Arabidopsis thaliana: one gene and its partner. The protein of the gene in region 2 interacts with the protein of the main gene of each other region in a pairwise test. Each region holds a gene or a part of one and is shown on either strand. Other genes may lie near its edges.

Region 1 (8,462 bases), on a different chromosome or scaffold from region 2:
AGGATCCTTTGGATTTATCGGAGGCATAGGGATTTTGGCAGAGGCTTTGGCGCGAAAGGCGTAACGAAAAGTCTTCAAGTTTCTTCTCCCGGATGAATTCGAAGATAGAGGAGGATGAGGAGAAAAAGAAGAAGAGCGTGGAAGCAGAGAATTCATGGATGCTTGTAAACAAGACGCCATGGTCGAGGAGCTCTTGGACACGGAAGCTCGCGAAAATGGACTCGTTGGACAAAGGAAACCAGAGGATTTATCGATGCTTTCGGAGGGGAGAGAATAATTACTGGGTCGGGTTTCGGGTTGACCCGCTATTTGATATTCCGGCTATAGCCCAAATCACATTTTAGGGAACAGGCCCAGTCGCAATAGACTTTACTTTCGGACCAAATTGCAATTATTCTGGGCCATTTCGTTTACACAAAACTCTGGTGCTATGGCCTATGAGCTGTAGTGTGTTGTTACTGTTGGTAGGATACAGGCAGGGGTTGTACCGTTTTAGAGTGATCTTATCCAAAAACAAAAGCAAGTTTAGTTTTAACACTGCAAGTTTAGTTTAAGATAATCATAAAAGACACCAGTAGTTGTAATGTAAATGTATATGTATGGAAAAACCTCACCACACCCAACACAATGTCTGATGAACTTTATTATGCAGCCGAGACAGAGTTTCCGGCTTTTTAATGACACAATAACAGACCAATTCCAGGTTCACAACTAAAACTAGAAAGACATATTGGTCGTCCCATACAAGAAGACCAGTATAATAATCCCAAATCGGAATCAAATTCTATTAGCAGTGGAGCCTGAGAAGCTTGAGACGATTCGGGTACAGCCAGTGGCCAGTTTTCATTTTCAACCAGATATCACCTGCAAAACATAATATGTAATACCGTTAAGAGAAGAAGAAATGATAACACATGACAGAGGTAGATTATGTTGCTGAAACACTTGGAGAGGCGATTTTTAGTGCACACAGAGGTTGGTGAGACCTAGTCGTTCTAAGACTCTTCAAATTTTATAGTCTGTCTCATGATTTCGTTAAGTTGGTGTTGATTGAAGAACAACCAAAGTGAGCAGGTATTTAAACAAACACCATGGATTGTGAATTAAAGAAGGTTCAGCTTTTAGACTTACAGGTGAAACTGGAGAATTCGATCTTGATCTTGATCTTGATTTTGATCTTGATTGGGACCTGCAGCAAGACCAAAAACCCCATGTAAGTGTGGCATAACAAAGAAATTTACTGACCATCTCCCATCTAGTCCCGGGAGCTTAAATGCTGTCCTAGAAAAGAACTCAACACAGAATCCACTATTGTCAAAAAGATAAATATATTGAGGAATCAGAGTAATCATAGTCCAAAACTTTGCGATCAGATCCTACAGCTGATACGCGCGGAGTACCAGACCAGACCAGACCGTAAAAACAGAAGTTCAAGTTCATGCTAATCCAGCTTTGTAAATCCAGTCCAAGAATCCATCTAGATGACCCATCTAGATCCAATCCCCAGCTCGTAGCAGTGAGCCAGATCTAGAAAACAAACAACGCAATACAATTGTAATCACGGTAAATGATCGAGGACATGCCTCAGAAATCCATCTTCCCCCTTCCGATAGAAATAAATTTTCAAAAAGTGAAACATCTAGCTAAGTGTTCTTTAAATTATAAGTCGGATAATGAAGATTGATACGTAATAAATTCACCGTCGCTGGAAAAAAGTTAAGAAGTAAAGCTTTATCAGAAGGAAACATCCAGAAGAGAACGACACAAAGAGAAAGGAAAAGGACTAAATATGATGGGAGCATCTCTGTCAAGAACTCAAAACATAAAAAACAAACACATTCACGTGTAAGAAATGAAAAGGAACTCTGGTAATCCCAAACAAGGAGGTAACCTTTACCCATATTGGAGTTTGCATGACATAGAAAACATCAACAAAGGAAGAAAATCAAGTGACAATAGACTAGTCCACTATGAGGGAAAAAAGACTCAAACAAATTCAACTGTGTACGGAAGCAACAAAAGGTGCTTAGTTGTAAGTAATAAAGCTAGTAAGGAGTTCACTATGCAAGAACAAGTGATCCATGAAGGGGTAACTACATATATAATAATGATACAAATCTAACACTCATACCTTGAGACAGAGCTGTATAGCGAGCGAGAACGACTAAGGGGCCGTGAACGCGGGGAAATGGATCTAGCAGGTGACACACTGCATTGCATTTAGAAGTCAGTTAATTTCATAAATAAGTTACAATAAAAATCCCTTATATGTCTTAGGTTTATGAAAAAAAAAAAAAAAAAAAGACCTCCTGCTCTTGCTACTATAGCTACAGCTTGGACCACGGCTCCGACTCCTGCTTCTATAGCTTTTAGAATCATCTGGGCTTCGACTCACACTCCTCGACTCATATTCCCTCACCTGAACAGTAAATTCAGAGATGACTCCATATCCACTTATGCTTAACAAAATCAAAGAAAGCAATACAACATACCCGTATATAAGCACTAGAGAAAGCATTTCGAAATTCAGTGGCATCAAGTTTCCTTATCTGTCACATCAAAAATTTTAAGGGAACATCAAAGATCCAACACTGGCCTCCAGGAAGATAAATTCAGCTCGGTATACTATGAAACAAAAGCAGTCTAAGGCATAAGTCCAGGAACATTTGCGTTGCAAAGATATAAAACTTACTGCGTACTTCATATCATCATAGTTGCTATAATCCACAACCCCAGACATGCCTACAAAGAAATACTGAATGTGAGTTTAGCAGTTCAGATGCTTAACACCTATTCTCCTTCACAAAGACTAATTTACTAACACATCAATCAAAAGCTTATCCAAACTATCGAATGTCAACTCACCTTTACGGTCAGGGAAAACTTCAGAGAAGCAGACATCTCCAGCTTTGCGCATGTGATCCTAATCACCCGTAAATAGCAAATAACATCATTTCAGAAAAGAGATAAATCCAAAACATGATATAGAGAACCAACATTCAGAGAAAAAGACTATATAGTGTCCCTTACCTTAAGGTCCTGCCACGAAGCAGAAGGCGGTAATCCGGTCACAAGCACTACATGTTTAGGTAGTAAAAATGAGTTTTCAAATATAAAATTTTACACAACACCAAATAACACAATCGAGAAGACTCTACAAACCGCGGTAGTCAGAGCGTCTTGAAGGTGCACGGCTCGCACTGTAGCTGCTGCTGTACCTATCAACTGATGGTGAAAATCTACGACCACCATGTGCAATCTCAACCTAAAAACATCACACAAAGATAACACCTTTACAAGAAATTACAGAAAATTAAGCTAGCTTTCATCATGCGTTTACTAACCCGAAGTCGACACCCATCAAAATCATAACCATCACGTCCATAAATTGCATCGTCTGCATCACGAGGATCTTCAAACTGCCACCAATAACAAACTATCTTAGTCATTAGCCTATACTATTACAAGAAGAAGAAAAAAACAAATTTGTACTTGATCAATATACCTCGACAAAGGCATAACCAGGAGGTCTCGGTGGAATCTTCAAATCAATGTCCACAATTGGTCCATACTGAAACAAATATACATAAGAGTCGATTTAAATTGTCTCAGCAAGACAGAATTGCAAATTTATGAACCCAAACAAGTCATAATGAATTCAATTTTTATCGAGAGAAAAGAGGAATTTTCAAACCTTGTAGAAGAGATCTTCAACCTCACACTTGCGAATATCTCCAGGCAAATTCCCAACGTAGATCGTACGATTCCATCGGCTACTCATCTGATACCTCAGAGCAGAAAATTAGTTCCTGTAAAAATCTAGAAGAGAAGAAATTGATTACTGGAAAAATAATTTCGAGAAAGAAGAAGAAGAAGATGTTCGAGAAAGCGTTAGATTGTTCTGGAAAGGAGACAACCACCGTTCGTTTGGAAACTAGTATCCTTTTATAAAACGGAACTGGATTTTAATCCTGTGCGGCCGCATGTATCAACGATGAATAGCCCAGTTGATCAAGATCGGCCCATATGTTTTAATGGGCCTGTTAATATATTGTTCTAACCGGATCGAATGTGTTTTTTCTTATCATTCAAACCGGAATATTGTATGTTAGTTATTACAATTCGAACCAATTTCGAATCGGATTCGGACCATCGGGTCATTCATTCTCCTAGGTTTCCTAAACACTGTCGTTTTTGGACAAAAGAGACACTAGATCGGAAACACTTGGGGATTTTTTTGAGAGAAACATTCTCTCGGTTCCTCTACTACCACCTCTCAAATCTCAATTCGCCGATTAGTAACTCCGTCCAAGACCATTTTCCGCCGTGACACCGTCCACGGTCTCTCTCAGTCCGTGAGTTCCTGCTCTGTTCCGTTTGGTTTTTCTGTTTTGGAATTTCAGTATTTTTCCTATTGAATTTGTTGCGATATGATGTCCAAATTTTTGGTTTGTTGAGTGATGTTCCGATATTTCCGTTATCAATCATCTTCCACTGTTCGCTTGCAGGGAAGAAGATACCATAGTTAGAAGCTGGTGATCATTTTCAATAAACCTCGAACATGTTTAAGAAGTAAGCATCTTTGTCTCTTTCTAGATTCTTTCTCTACTTTTTTATTTAGATAGAAACTGTTTTTCATACCCGGATTGTAGAATCTAAGAATTAGTGGTTTCAACATCTCGGCATTGTTTATACTAGTTGATAAAGAATGTGATGGTCTCTTTATTTAGTATCCACTTACTCTAATAACTATCGAGAACTCACTCCCTTCTACTTGTTGTCGACCACATTGTTAATTTGATTGCTTAGAGTAGCCTTGGTATGGGCATATTGGTTGTTATATTTTCTTCAAAGTAGAAGGTTTTGAGTTCTCAAAAGCTAACATCTTGCTATTGTAAAGTTTTGGTTTCTATATTGATAGTGTCACTATTTGATTTATCAAATCTGTACAAAGAGTCGTGGGTCATAGAGGAAAGTTTGTGTCTTGATTTGACCAGTCTAAACTCTCTACTATCATGGAGTTTGTGTTTATCCATCTCCTGAAACATGCTTATACATTCATAGTGAATCTTGTATAAAGTTTATTTTTCCCTACTGCTATCAACTTTAGATCTATTTGATATACCATTATGTCTATGAAGGTGTTATTTATGTTCACTACTTTTTATTTAGGTTTTGTTTGGAGGAGATTTCATCACAAAACCAAGTGAAGGCATCTGTTCAACGTAGGATCCGCCAGAGTATCCAAGATGAGGTATGTCTGTTGTTTCATTTGTCTTTTTCCCCTTCTTAAACTTTTATGATTTCGTGAAGTTTGTCAGATATAAATATGTTTATGTTAATGTTGCAGTACCCGGGACTTGAATCAGTGATGGAGGATCTACTTCCCAAAAAGATTCCTCTTATCGTAGTGAAGTGGTCTGTAAATTAACAAACTCATATTCATTGTTTTGTTTTCTGAATTTTCTTTTACCCACTATCTATGTCTTACAGTATTCCTGACTATATTTCTCGTGCAGCCCAAACCATCTGACCCTAGTTGTTGTCAACAATGTCCCCCTCTTCTTCTGTATCCGTGACGGGCCATACATGCCAACACTGCGGCTTCTTCATCAATGTAATATCACTTTTCCTTCACACCATCCATGCTATATGGTCTTGTTATCAAAACATAACATATCTGGGTGTTTTATTCATACAATCACTCTTCTTCACACCTGTTAGTCTTACTGTGGTCTGCAGTAGAACTTACCTGGTTCAAATACTGCATATACCTGAATAGTATGTCCGACACTTTTCTCTGAGTTATTTAGAACTTCCTGGGGTTTGGTTCCTGTAAGTTGTTGTTCCTTTGGCTTTTTTCATGCGAGTGAACTATATAAAAGGTCCACGTATGATTGGTTAGCCAGGATTTTTGTTTAGTATATTTTGTTTTATGTTTTCCGGGTTAGCTGACCCTTATCATAGTGAGAAGGTTTTGGCATTGGCTGTTACCAGAAGAGTATAAAATATTCTTGAAAACACCACGTTCAGCTAACTTTTACATACTTGAATGATACATAGAAAGAAACTTGGAGTTTTTTCAATTAGCCACGAATGTCAAAAATTTGGCAGCTGAATGTTTGGAGTTTTGCAGACCCAAATATAATGAAGAGGTTTCAAGTTGATAGAGGTGCCATAAAGTTTGTTCTGTCTGGTGCAAACATAATGTGTCCTGGTCTTACATCCCCGGGAGGCGTTCTGGATCAAGAAGTCGAGGCTGAAAGGCCAGTGGTATGAATAAAAACAGTATTTCCCTGGGTTGCATTTTTGTTTGTATATGCTGATCTTAAACCATGAATCTGTATTTGTTTAGGCCATATATGCAGAAGGAAAGCAACATGCCTTAGCAATAGGCTTCACCAAAATGTCAGCAAAGGACATGTAAGTCAATTTTTCGCTGGAATTTATTTGAAAATACAAACATGTGCTTTGATATACTTTCGTATCTTAGCCAAAATACAGTCTCTTGGCTCCAGGCCTCTCCAAGTAACCCTATCTTTGTCACTTTATTGATATTCCTTCTTCCCTTAGATACACATACCTGCACCAGGATCAATTTTGGCCGTGTTTCCCCTGTTTGCTCATAAAATTTCTTTCGCATCGCTAAACTTTTCTTGTGTATGTTCACAGAAAGAGCATTAACAAAGGAATAGGAGTTGACAACATGCATTACCTCAACGACGGTCTCTGGAAGGTACCAATACTTGTCTCTGGTTTCTCTATTCGTAGTATTGCCAAGCAGTCTCATTGTTGATATAAAAATCGATTTTGGAAGAACACAAATCAAAAGTTTCTGAAATTTGTATTGCAGATGGAACGACTAGACTGAGGACAATGTCAAATGTGAATCAGTGTCGGAGAGATATATTGGTCTCCTTTTATGTTCTCTCTAAACTTATGGAGCTTTTGTCCGGATCAACCTTAGCTTTGGTTTGATTTGTTTTCAAACATTTGATACTTATTTTATGAGGGAACGTCAACCTTAGCTAAGGTTACAGTTTCTAATTCCGTATAATCAAACAAGTAAGATTAAAAAGCTGTTCAAATTTATTTCGGTCAGAATATATTTAAAGTCATCCTAATTGAACTTAACAAATTGCTATAAGCCTATAAAGTATAAACGATTAGGCAGAATGTGCCCACTGTTTATCTACTAATTAGGTATTAAAGCTATAATAGTACTACATACACGTGCTTGCACGATATGACGACGTTGTATCAACCAAAAATTTGTATAAGCCACCTAACATGAGATTAGGTAACACTAGAAATTCGATATGAGCTAAGAATGTCCTCATGTGCCAAATGAAATGACGACATTAAGACACGTCTATTTCGCTGTTGTCCTATTCAATATTAACTTTTACTTTGGTAAAGCGTGGATATCTCCCTTTGTATACTATTTTTGCAAAATGTCGTTAAAACAGAATTATTCGTATTTGTATAGCTTATGGTGATTTTAGGTACTTCTATTATGGATAATATTACTTAAACGCTTTCATTTTTAATACAATTGAATTGACAGAGATGTTTGAACAAAATGATACCTAACGGATATTAATCAATTTTCAGAATGTTATCAAATAAATGTCAAACAAAAGAAACTACTATCTACTCTAATGTATTATAAATTAATAATGTATAACTCGATTAGAGTTATTACCAACCCACCAAAACAGTTTTCTCATCTTACATTTTTTTACCCAAACCAAACACATTATCCGGTAAACACAAAATTTGGCACTCATCTTTTAGTTGGTCCCGGCCCTCACTTTTAGGGGTTTAGGCCTTACTTCAATCCCATCAATGGCAATTCCACCCTTCAATTGATAACCTTTAACTTCAGTCAGACTCATAACAACCTCCTTGTCGTCATCACCTTCTCCTGATCCTGTCTCGAACTCTCCCAGCTCTATCTCCATCCACCCATCGTCTCTCACCTCTGGCTCCCTCCGATGACTTCGGACAACCTCATGCGTCGCCATCCTCTGTTCTCTTTGTCCGTAAAACACACGTTCCATTTGTTGTTTCTTGTTATCCAAGCAACTTAGATAAGTTGACTTTATTTTCTTTTCACCATTTCCCACTTTTATCGATGTCTCTGCCGGAACTAGGTCTAGTCCATAGGCACGTGACGTTACTTTCATAATCAGATAAGCTCCGTAGTTTGTGTTCGGCGATAAAGCTCCGGTTTGGATTTTTCCGATGATTTCTAACCAATCTGTCATTATAAGTTGGACTCCTTCGGAAAACCTATAATCAAAATATTGAAACAAAAATTATTGCTTACACTGTTACACCAATGATATGATTAAATTAATAACGACCTTGAATCTGATCGTGGGCTCCAAGACCAGTAATGTCTTTGATCGCTCCAAGTTATGGAAAGATCTCTTGACGACAAAATATACGATATTTTC
Region 2 (9,207 bases):
CCTCCGGTTTCAACCGAGAAGAAGTCGAACAACACGATGCTGATCATAATCGTCGCTGCATCAGCAACGGTTGCACTCATGATCCTAATCTTCTCAGGATTTTGGTTCTTACGTAGAGACAAAATATTCTTCATCGGAGGTGCAAGGAAATTCTCCTACCAGACGATATCGAACGCAACGGGAGGTTTCGACAATTCTAAACTCTTGGGAGAGAGAAACTCTGGAAGTTTCTACAAAGGACAGCTTGCTCCCACAGAGATAATTGCCGTAAAGAAGATTACTTGCACCACAAGGCAACAAAAGACAACCCTAATAGCCGAGATCGATGCGATCTCCAAGATTAAACAACGAAACCTAGTCAATCTACATGGTTACTGCAGCAAAGGAAAAGATATCTATCTTGTTTACGAGTATGTCCCCAATGGAAGCCTAGACCGGTTCTTGTTCAACAACGACCGACCAGTTCTCACCTGGTCAGATCGGTTCTGTATAATAAAGGGGATTGCAGCAGCACTTCAACACCTTCACGGTGAAGGTCAAAAACCTTTGATTCATGGAAACGTAAAAGCAAGCAACGTACTCTTAGACGAAGAGCTAAACGCTCGACTAGGCGACTATGGACAAGGAAGCAGACACAGCACCACAGGGCACGTTGCACCAGAACTAGTCAACACGGGAAAGGTAACACGTGACACAGATGTGTTTGCGTTTGGAGTGTTGATGATGGAGATCGTTTGTGGAAGGAAGGCCATAGAGCCGACTAAAGCACCAGAAGAGATAAGTTTGGTGAACTGGGTGCTTCAAGGGTTCAAGAAAGGTGATCTGTTAATGAGCTGCGACACAAGAATCAATAGAGAGAATTTGGTAGCTCGAGAAGTATTATTGGTTCTGAAAACAGGACTTCTCTGCGCCAACCGATCTCCAGAATCAAGGCCAATGATGAAAAATGTGTTTCGGTATCTCGAAGGAACTGAAGCTCTCCCTCATGATGACTACCTCTTCTATGGAGTCTAAAAAGTGATCTCACAAACGTGTCTGTATTTTGAATTGTGTGATTTCAAGATTGGACGAAGATGCATTAAGCATGATGATGTGAATAAAGCCTATAATTGTATTTTACTCCATTTGTAAATTTGAAAATAAGAATTTCTGGTTTTGAGAAATATTTTCTTGTTGTTAGGACAATCTGATCCTACTCTTCTGGGAAAATGATCATTACAAAATATATCTTTGATCTATTTAAAATCTAAATGATATTTTGTTATGTCAGTTTAGGATACATAGCTACGAAACTTATATCATGACTTCATCATATACAGGAATATTTTCCATGAAAACATCTCTTGGGTTTTTTTTGTTAGCTTATATTAACCTAAATGGTTTTTTAAAGCTTATGTTAACATAAAGGGACCACCCAATGCAAGAAACAATTTTGCTATCATAATTGTCACTTGTCCAATTTTGCTATCATAATTGTCACTTGTCCAATTTTGCTGCCACCAACAAACAGACCACATAAGAAAGTTTGGAACATGTAAGAAAAAACACAACATAAGATGATGTTCATAAATCTAGCAAGGGATAGTATCATAAAAGATGATGTTCAAATAACGCTGGACAAGGGACTTAGTGGCTAATGCCCTTCTTTGCTTTCAATGACTCGAGTGCTTTGTTTCGCAACTCAATTTCAAGCCTCTTTGGATCAGATTCCTCCCCTTTTTTAATCTTAGGACGGGCCTCAACTTCACCTTCTGAAGTATCAGAAAGCTCTTGTTTCTTATGCTTCTCCTTTCCACCACGACGTTCTTCCCTTTTACGATGTCTCTCCTCTCGCCTACGTTTCTTCTCCTCCTTTCTCGTTTTCTTCTCCTCCTTCCTCCTCCTTTTAGCCTCCTTCCTATCATCTACGTCGGAATCAGAACTGCCATTATCATCTGAAGATACTTCTTCCCTTGAAGACCTTTTATTCTTTCTTCTATTTTTATCCTTAATTTGATGTCTGATGGTATCCTTAGAATCACAGGAAAGGTTTGCATCCAGGTCGCTGTTATCCTCTTTCTCAACCTGCTCACTGTCTTTCACTTTACTAGAAACAGGCCGACTCCTTCCTTCTGAATTTTCTACTGGGGACATCTGTGAACCATGGTGTCTGTGAACAGATCGCTTCTCTGACAACTTATCACTGTTAAGAAGTTGAATAGACCAACATTTATCAGACCTTGATATTTGAAGTCAAACGAAAATCATTTGGAAAATGAAAAGAAACAAAATGCACCTCTTTCTCTCCTGCTCCTTATAATGTTCTACACGCCCAACTTCTAGCAACTTCTCTGGTAATTGTTTCCTCTTGTCAGTATCAGGCACTGAAGTTCTCTTTAACAGCTTGGAATTTTGAACCCTGTCACAATGCGAAAGCAGACAGAGGGTCAAGGAGTTAACAAGTACAGATAAGAAGAAGATTATAGTAAATGGAGTCATGAAGACCATACCTATCTTGTTCTTCAGATAGACGCCCAGGAGATCTTCTCTCTCTCTGATGTTTTCTTCCACGTGGAGAAGGAGATCTATGAAGAACAGGAGGTGATCGCGACCTAGAAGGAGATCTGCTCGAAGATGGAGACCGTCTCCTGCGTCTATCAGGTGATCGTGAAGCAGATGAAGATCTTCGACTTCGCCGGTTGACAGGTGTTGGTGATCTGCGCCGAACAGGAGAGCGCGCTTTCTGATGTCGAGATGAAGGAGAAGATTTACCTCGACCCCTAACAGGTGACATAGATCCATCTTGCTTGATATGTGAAGGGGAAGTATGGCGTCCACCTTGTGACAGGGAGACTCGCTCTTCGTCAGGTGTCAGTGACCTGCGTCTTCTAACAGGTGGAGATGGTAACACTTTTTTCCTACCAGGAGGGGACAATGAGCTGGGTGATGGTGATTCCAGGTGATTGGCTGCATGAGATCCTCCAATCCTCATTGGTGAAGGTAATCCTGCACGCCTAGGGGGTGGTGAAGGCAACCTTTGCGCAGGGGGTGGTGAAGGTAATCCTGCACGCCTAGGGGGTGGTGAAGGCAACCTTTGTGCAACGGGTGGTGAAGGCAATCTTTGCTCAATGGATGGTGAAGGCAATCTTGCCCCAGTGGGATCCCTGAGCCTAGCCACTGGTGACGGAGACCTCCCTGGTGAGTCAGACCTTCCCCGCTTAGCCAGCGGTGACCGTGACCTGTTACGCCTATAGAGTGGAGATGGAGACCTGTTACGCCTGTAGAGTGGAGATGGAGACCTACGCCGCCTAGCTGGCGGTGAAGGAGACCTACGCCGCCTAGCTGGCGGTGAAGGAGACCTACGCCGCCTAGCTGGCGGTGGAGAACGGTGACGCCTAGCAGGGGGCGATGGTGACCTGCGCTGCCTTGCAGGTGGTGTTGGAGACCTGTGCCGTCTAGCAGGTGGTGATGGTGACCTGCGCCGTCTAGCAGGTGGGGATGGTGACCTGCGCCGTCTAGCAGGTGGGGATGGAGAACGGCGACGTCTTGAAGGGGCTGGTGATTGACGGCGTCCCTCATGCGTAGGTCGCCTGTGACGTCTAATAGGTGACCGCGACCTGCTTCTGAAAGGAGAGTGTATCCTACGTCGCCGAGGAGACAGAGACCTACGCACGGAACGTGATCTGGATCTACGTCTTGAATTCGACAATCTTCGCTTTCTAGGTGAGATGGAGGCATCTGATGATTGAGATGTGCTCCTGGATTTCCGTTCGCTGTTATAAAAGTAGACAGCATTAGCAAAAACTGCACTAGGATTTACAGAAAATAATAGATACAGAACTAGCTAGCTACACATCACAGGCTACAATTTCTTTGGATTAAGAAAAACAATTGCAGAAGGCTACATACCCAGAATAACTTTTCGAGCCTGAATTTGTTTTGCTGATTGACCTAGAACGTGACCCTCTGTAAAGCAACCAATCAATATATACTTGCACATATAAGCAAATTGTATTAGAAAAAACAAAACTATTGAAGAGTCACCTAAGGGGTGAGCGGGATGCATCTCCGCGACGTGGAGGTATCAGATCCCTGCATCAAGTGGAGGCAATGTCAGAACCCACTTACATAATAATCTTGGCCACAAACAAATTCCTGGACCACCAGCAAACCAAATGCACATGCAAAGTACCAGTAGCATACCTAAAAATGCTAAAAGACTAGAAGACCCAGAACAGTCATTTATAGAAATACTTGAACAACTCATGCCCACGAGTTCTTATAGAGAAAATCAACGTACAAAGTTATGAGTAGACTAGAAGGATGAACTCAATCAATAATAAAGTACACAAGGGAATACAGCGATGAGTAGAGAGTAGCTATGAAATCATAGGCATTAAGAGAACTCTACCTTCTCCTTTCTTTTACACCATTCTTCTCGTCAGCCCTTCTCCCATCCTCTGGACGATCTCTTGAAGGTTTTGCATCCATGCCATTTGTCTCCTTATGTTCTACACCGCTGTCCTACAGTAGTTGAGGTAAAGCACATGAACCCTAATAATTGCAGAAGCTATCTGAATAACATGAAAGAACAGGCGAATGTTAAAACCAGAAGAGCATCTCTAAAGCTGAAACTCTAGCATGAATAAGAACGTCTTACTATTTTCCTCAATATATCGTGCTCAATGTTCTTCTTATCTCCCTCCCTCTTCTTCATTATTTCATTTGCTTCTTCCTGCCACATAAAGGATAATAATCATGAAACAGTAGGACAGAGACAAGTCGTTCACCAAACTAACTTCAGAATGAGTTCCCAAGAATACCTGTTTCTTCTTTGTTTCAGCAGCTCTAGCATCTAAAAACTGCTGTGGAACACCACTTGGATTATTCTGTGCGCTTAGAAGAAGTGTCCAAAGTTCTTTCATAAATTTGCCAGTATTTTTCTCCATGAATCCAGTTAGCGTTATCTGAATCTCCTTACCATTCACTACCTACATACATAGTGAACGTTCAATTACATATTAGTCCAACAAAAAAAAATCACTTGTATCAATGGCATGGGCTACGAAATCATACTACCCCTCTGTCACTTATTAACAGTCGAATAAAAAGCTCAGAAAAATAAAATCTCAGTAATGAGCTTACCTTCCCGTCAAGCAGACCATAGATAAAGTTAATCAGCACTTCATCTTCAATACCAAGAAGCTCAGTGACTCTAGTCGCAATCCAAGGTTTCATAACATCCATCTTCACTTTAGTGATATCCACCTAACACCAAGGCAAGTAGAAGACATCATTAAGCCCTCCCCAAACTTAATTTCATAGTAACATATGTATCGAATTATCTGGTAATCGAATCTCAATTAAGTAAATTCAAGCTACGAATTCACAAATCGTTAAAATGGACGAGTACACAAAGAGAAAACTCACCAGATTCTCTAACTCCGGAGCAAATTTCTGGCTTTTCATCAATTTAGCTTGCTTGTTAGAAAACCGAGTATCCTGCTCGGCGGAAGTACCCTAAAAGCTCAAAACAAAGAAGTTATTAAACCATGGGAACTTCAACAAAACTTTTGAATTGCATCGATCTGGATCTAAAAGATGAGAGATCAATTGAGAAAATTGATCGGAAAACTAACCCGGAAGAAACCGCCGGACATAGTTTAGGGTTTGTGGAAGCACTAGCTCGTCTCTAGAAGAAAGATCGAAGCTTGAGAGAGATTTGTGAGATTTAGATGTGAAAATGGGGCTTCCACAGAGATTTTGAAGAGTTTTTAACGAGCCCTAGCTATATCGGACTCACTTCATTTTGTTTTTCCATTGTTACCCTCAGAGGTTTTGAGAATTACGTTATTGCCATTTATTGGAACATGTTCGGTCTCATCTTCTTGACAAGCCTTTTTTGTAATCTGATTGGTTTCAATTGCCATAGCTTATGGGCCAGTTTTAGCCCAAAGCAAACCTAGTCTTAATTAATCTCGTAGGTCTATTTGAATGAGTAAAACATTTTATCTTATTGGTACATATGCAATTTTGGAAGTGGTTTTTTTCTTCTAAAACGAACAGTGTGGTCACGGAAATTTATGTGCATTGTGTGGACTGATTAAGCAATTGAAAATGGTTTTAGGTTAAGTAGGGTTGGTAGATGAAGTTAATAAGAGAGAGAGAAGATGAAACTTGAAAGTGTTTGAGGTTTAAGAGATAAATGTGGAAAAGGAATGGAAAAGTTACATGTGGTGGTAATCTTGAAAGTGAAATAGATTAGAGTAATCAATGTGAACCTTATGGGACGTGAAAGGAAGATGACTATGATTATAAGTTTTGGGGTGTGCATTACTCGGTAAAAATATGGGTTGGTGCAACAAAATGAAGGAGTTAGGTTTGGTCAACTCGTCCTACTACATTAGAGTAACTTATGTTTCTTAAACCATAGGTGAAAGTGTGGGTGGAAACTATATAACAGTTGTTTGATCGTAATTTGTGTGGACAACAAGTGCGCATGGAAGGTGTATGGGCACACAATATAAGGTAGGTATGAGAATTGAGAACATATAAGTATGCAAATGGAAAAATGAGAGCAATGACTATAGTTATCTCTAATATTGTATTAGACTAGATTTTAACCCGCAGTACACCGCGGAAACAATTTATTTTTTTAATTAATATATATAAAAGTTTGTAAATTTTATCTATCTATAAAATATTTTTATTGTATAGTTTACAATTGTTATTAAATAACGTCCTGCCAAACTCGTCCCGCCAACCCGTCCTCTAAAAAAAACTCATTTATTTTATTAATGTTGATTTTATTTATGATATGTTTATGAATTATTGTCTAAATATTTTGTAATTTTGTAGTAATTAAATGCTATCAAATATCTCTACGGTTTGATGATTATAATCATGCAGAAAAGCAATATCAAAAATGATAATTTTGTAGTAATTAAATGATATTAAATATTTTAGAAGTTTTATTTTAGTAATTAATCGTGTAGTTAAGGTTGAGAGATTTTGGGAAGATTGTTAAATGTCAAATATTTAATTAGAAGATTTTCTTTCTAATTATCAAAAACAATTATTAAATGCCAGTGGCAGCCGTTGTAAATAAATCCCAACTCCAGTATTTATTTCACAAAGTAGCAGCAAAAATGTATATATAGATGAGCTCATAACTCTGTGTTTCAGTTTCATATATGAGGGCATGTCATGCAAAAGATAATAACATATTTTCTTTTGTCATCACCATCATCGAAATTATGGACTTTGACGTATTTGTATGATATATAAAGCAAAATTTATGTCAGTAAAGAAAAAAATCAACTTGGAAGACTTTTTAAGATTCGTTATTTAATTTATTTTTTCTTTCCAATTACAAACAAACTTTGCCTCTACATGAATCAAAAAACCGTAAAAACAGAAACATTTTTGCAACCGTCACTAACGTTATCATCATCGAATTAACGAATTCACCAAATCTTTGCTGACAAGAAAATAATGTAAGTTTCGCCTAACATCTCCGCTGAAAAAAAAGCAAAACTTTCATAAATTTAAATAAAATCTCAAAAGTTAAGAGGTAAATATAATATTTTTTTGTCATTTTCCTAATTAAGAAATCCTACTATATTATTTAGGAAGTACATTTTAAATATAACCTTATTTTTTGTAAGTAATTACATAAGTATGCCATTAGAAATAAAATTTAAAGAGTAAATTAATTCATCTCTTTAATAATTAAGTCAAATACTAATTTAATTAATTAAATTTAATTAAAAAACAAAATACATTATTAATTTCCAAAAAAGTAACCAATTAAAATCAACAAATTAGATTTGATATCTAAATTATCATATTAATTTTTTATTAATTATTATAGTTCACCTCTCATCTTTATATGATTCTATTTTGGCGAAAAAATAATATCATCGTTATAAAAAAATAATTAGAGTTTTTTCGCATATGCCATAATTTGAATTTTTAAAAACTAATATAAACTGTTCAATACATGAAAAAATATTATAACGGGTCAAAAATAGATTTAAGAAAATTTTCTACTGAATACTGGGTCATAATTTGAATATTTATATTCAATTTCATACATATTATTTTAAAAATTTATAATCTTATATACTACAATAATTAATAACATATTAGATTTTTTTATGTGTATGATGTGATTCAATTTTTAATACAAGATAGAAAATCCTAGAATTGACGGGTTTAAATCGATATTAATACAAGATGGTATACTACATGTGAAACTCTAAAATTAACAATCAAAATACAAGTGTATAATTTTAAACACTAAACAATATAAATAATATCAACAAAACATATACAACTCGCAGTTTACTATACATTTAAAATCAAATAAAATAATATCATATATTTATAATCATCTTTACAATAAAAATTTTTAGTTTAAATAAAATATAAGCCTACATGTGGTATACTGCAAGTTAAAATTATAAATAAGCAGATTACCATCACGATGTCCGTACCTTCTCACATACACACTTATCAAAAATTATAAATAAGCATTTTAAATGTAACCTTATTTTTTGTAAGTAATTACATAGGTATGCCATTAGAAATAAAAACTTAAAACTTTTTAAAACCTCTTGGTATATACAAATTAGGATTCTTCATTCATAAAATCATTATTCCAAGGGTTTTGGGATGTCTTATGAAATGATTTTGGTAGAAGAGGATGTACATTTTTTTGAATAAAAAGTAGTCAGCAAAACATATGTTTTTTTTGGGAGTTTTTAGATAATTAAATCAGAGAATAGGGTTGGGCATACGAGTAACCCATTCGAGTTCTGGTAGAACCCGTTCGGGTTTGGGATTAATGGGTATATGATTTACTATCCAATAGAATAATTCTAAATATTTGGTTCTGGTTCGGGTCGGATCCAGTTGGGTTTGGGTCAGTTTGGATAAAAAGTTTCAGACCCTAAAAATATCCAAAAAAAAATAGAAACTGGAAATTTGTATGTACATAGCGGGTCTCCAAACAAAAAAAACTTTTAAATTTGTTAAGTTTTAATAAATTTAATTATATTTGAATATATTTTACAAAATTTTGACAAACATAACAAATCATTTTTGAATAGTTTAGTTGTTTTGGATATTTAGGTCCAAAATTAATTGACATATTTAAATTTATAATTATAATCTTAGATAATTAGATAATATTACGATTAAATATAATTAATATTTTGGATATTA

Evidence for each region.
Region 1: the proteins of AT2G29210 (region 2) and SR30 interact in a two-hybrid assay, tested with the Arabidopsis thaliana proteins (one large-scale study listed by BioGRID).

Annotation. Positions count from the first base shown.
Region 1 is NC_003070.9:2,942,038-2,950,499, forward strand, and holds SR30 (SERINE-ARGININE PROTEIN 30), read right to left. Parts: upstream 3,940-8,462; 5' UTR 3,782-3,939; coding exon 3,695-3,781; intron 3,572-3,694; coding exon 3,506-3,571; intron 3,420-3,505; coding exon 3,345-3,419; intron 3,266-3,344; coding exon 3,163-3,265; intron 3,078-3,162; coding exon 3,031-3,077; intron 2,924-3,030; coding exon 2,866-2,923; intron 2,743-2,865; coding exon 2,693-2,742; intron 2,550-2,692; coding exon 2,493-2,549; intron 2,420-2,492; coding exon 2,307-2,419; intron 2,210-2,306; coding exon 2,132-2,209; coding exon of another isoform or gene 2,119-2,131; exon of another isoform or gene 1,528-2,118; coding exon of another isoform or gene 1,491-1,527; exon of another isoform or gene 1,190-1,490; coding exon 1,132-1,189; intron 865-1,131; coding exon 850-864; 3' UTR 501-849; downstream 1-500. Other genes in the region: AT1G09130 (ATP-dependent caseinolytic (Clp) protease/crotonase family protein), read right to left, coding at 1-180; AT1G09150 (pseudouridine synthase and archaeosine transglycosylase (PUA) domain-containing protein), read left to right, coding at 4,562-4,572, 5,173-5,254, 5,351-5,418, 5,520-5,617, 6,137-6,273, 6,356-6,423, 6,673-6,736, 6,854-6,871; PP2-B15 (phloem protein 2-B15), read right to left, coding at 7,794-8,295, 8,370-8,462. UniProt on the Arabidopsis thaliana protein: Regulatory splicing factor that modulates alternative splicing and gene expression in specific cell types. Autoregulates its own expression. Probably involved in intron recognition and spliceosome assembly.
Region 2 is NC_003071.7:12,554,588-12,563,794, reverse strand, and holds AT2G29210 (splicing factor PWI domain-containing protein), read right to left. Parts: upstream 5,817-9,207; 5' UTR 5,640-5,816; coding exon 5,619-5,639; intron 5,500-5,618; coding exon 5,410-5,499; intron 5,248-5,409; coding exon 5,125-5,247; intron 4,971-5,124; coding exon 4,803-4,970; intron 4,715-4,802; coding exon 4,640-4,714; intron 4,504-4,639; coding exon 4,391-4,503; intron 4,072-4,390; coding exon 4,024-4,071; intron 3,946-4,023; coding exon 3,889-3,945; intron 3,753-3,888; coding exon 2,490-3,752; intron 2,399-2,489; coding exon 2,276-2,398; intron 2,183-2,275; coding exon 1,627-2,182; 3' UTR 1,428-1,626; downstream 1-1,427. Other genes in the region: AT2G29220 (Concanavalin A-like lectin protein kinase family protein), read left to right, coding at 1-1,014.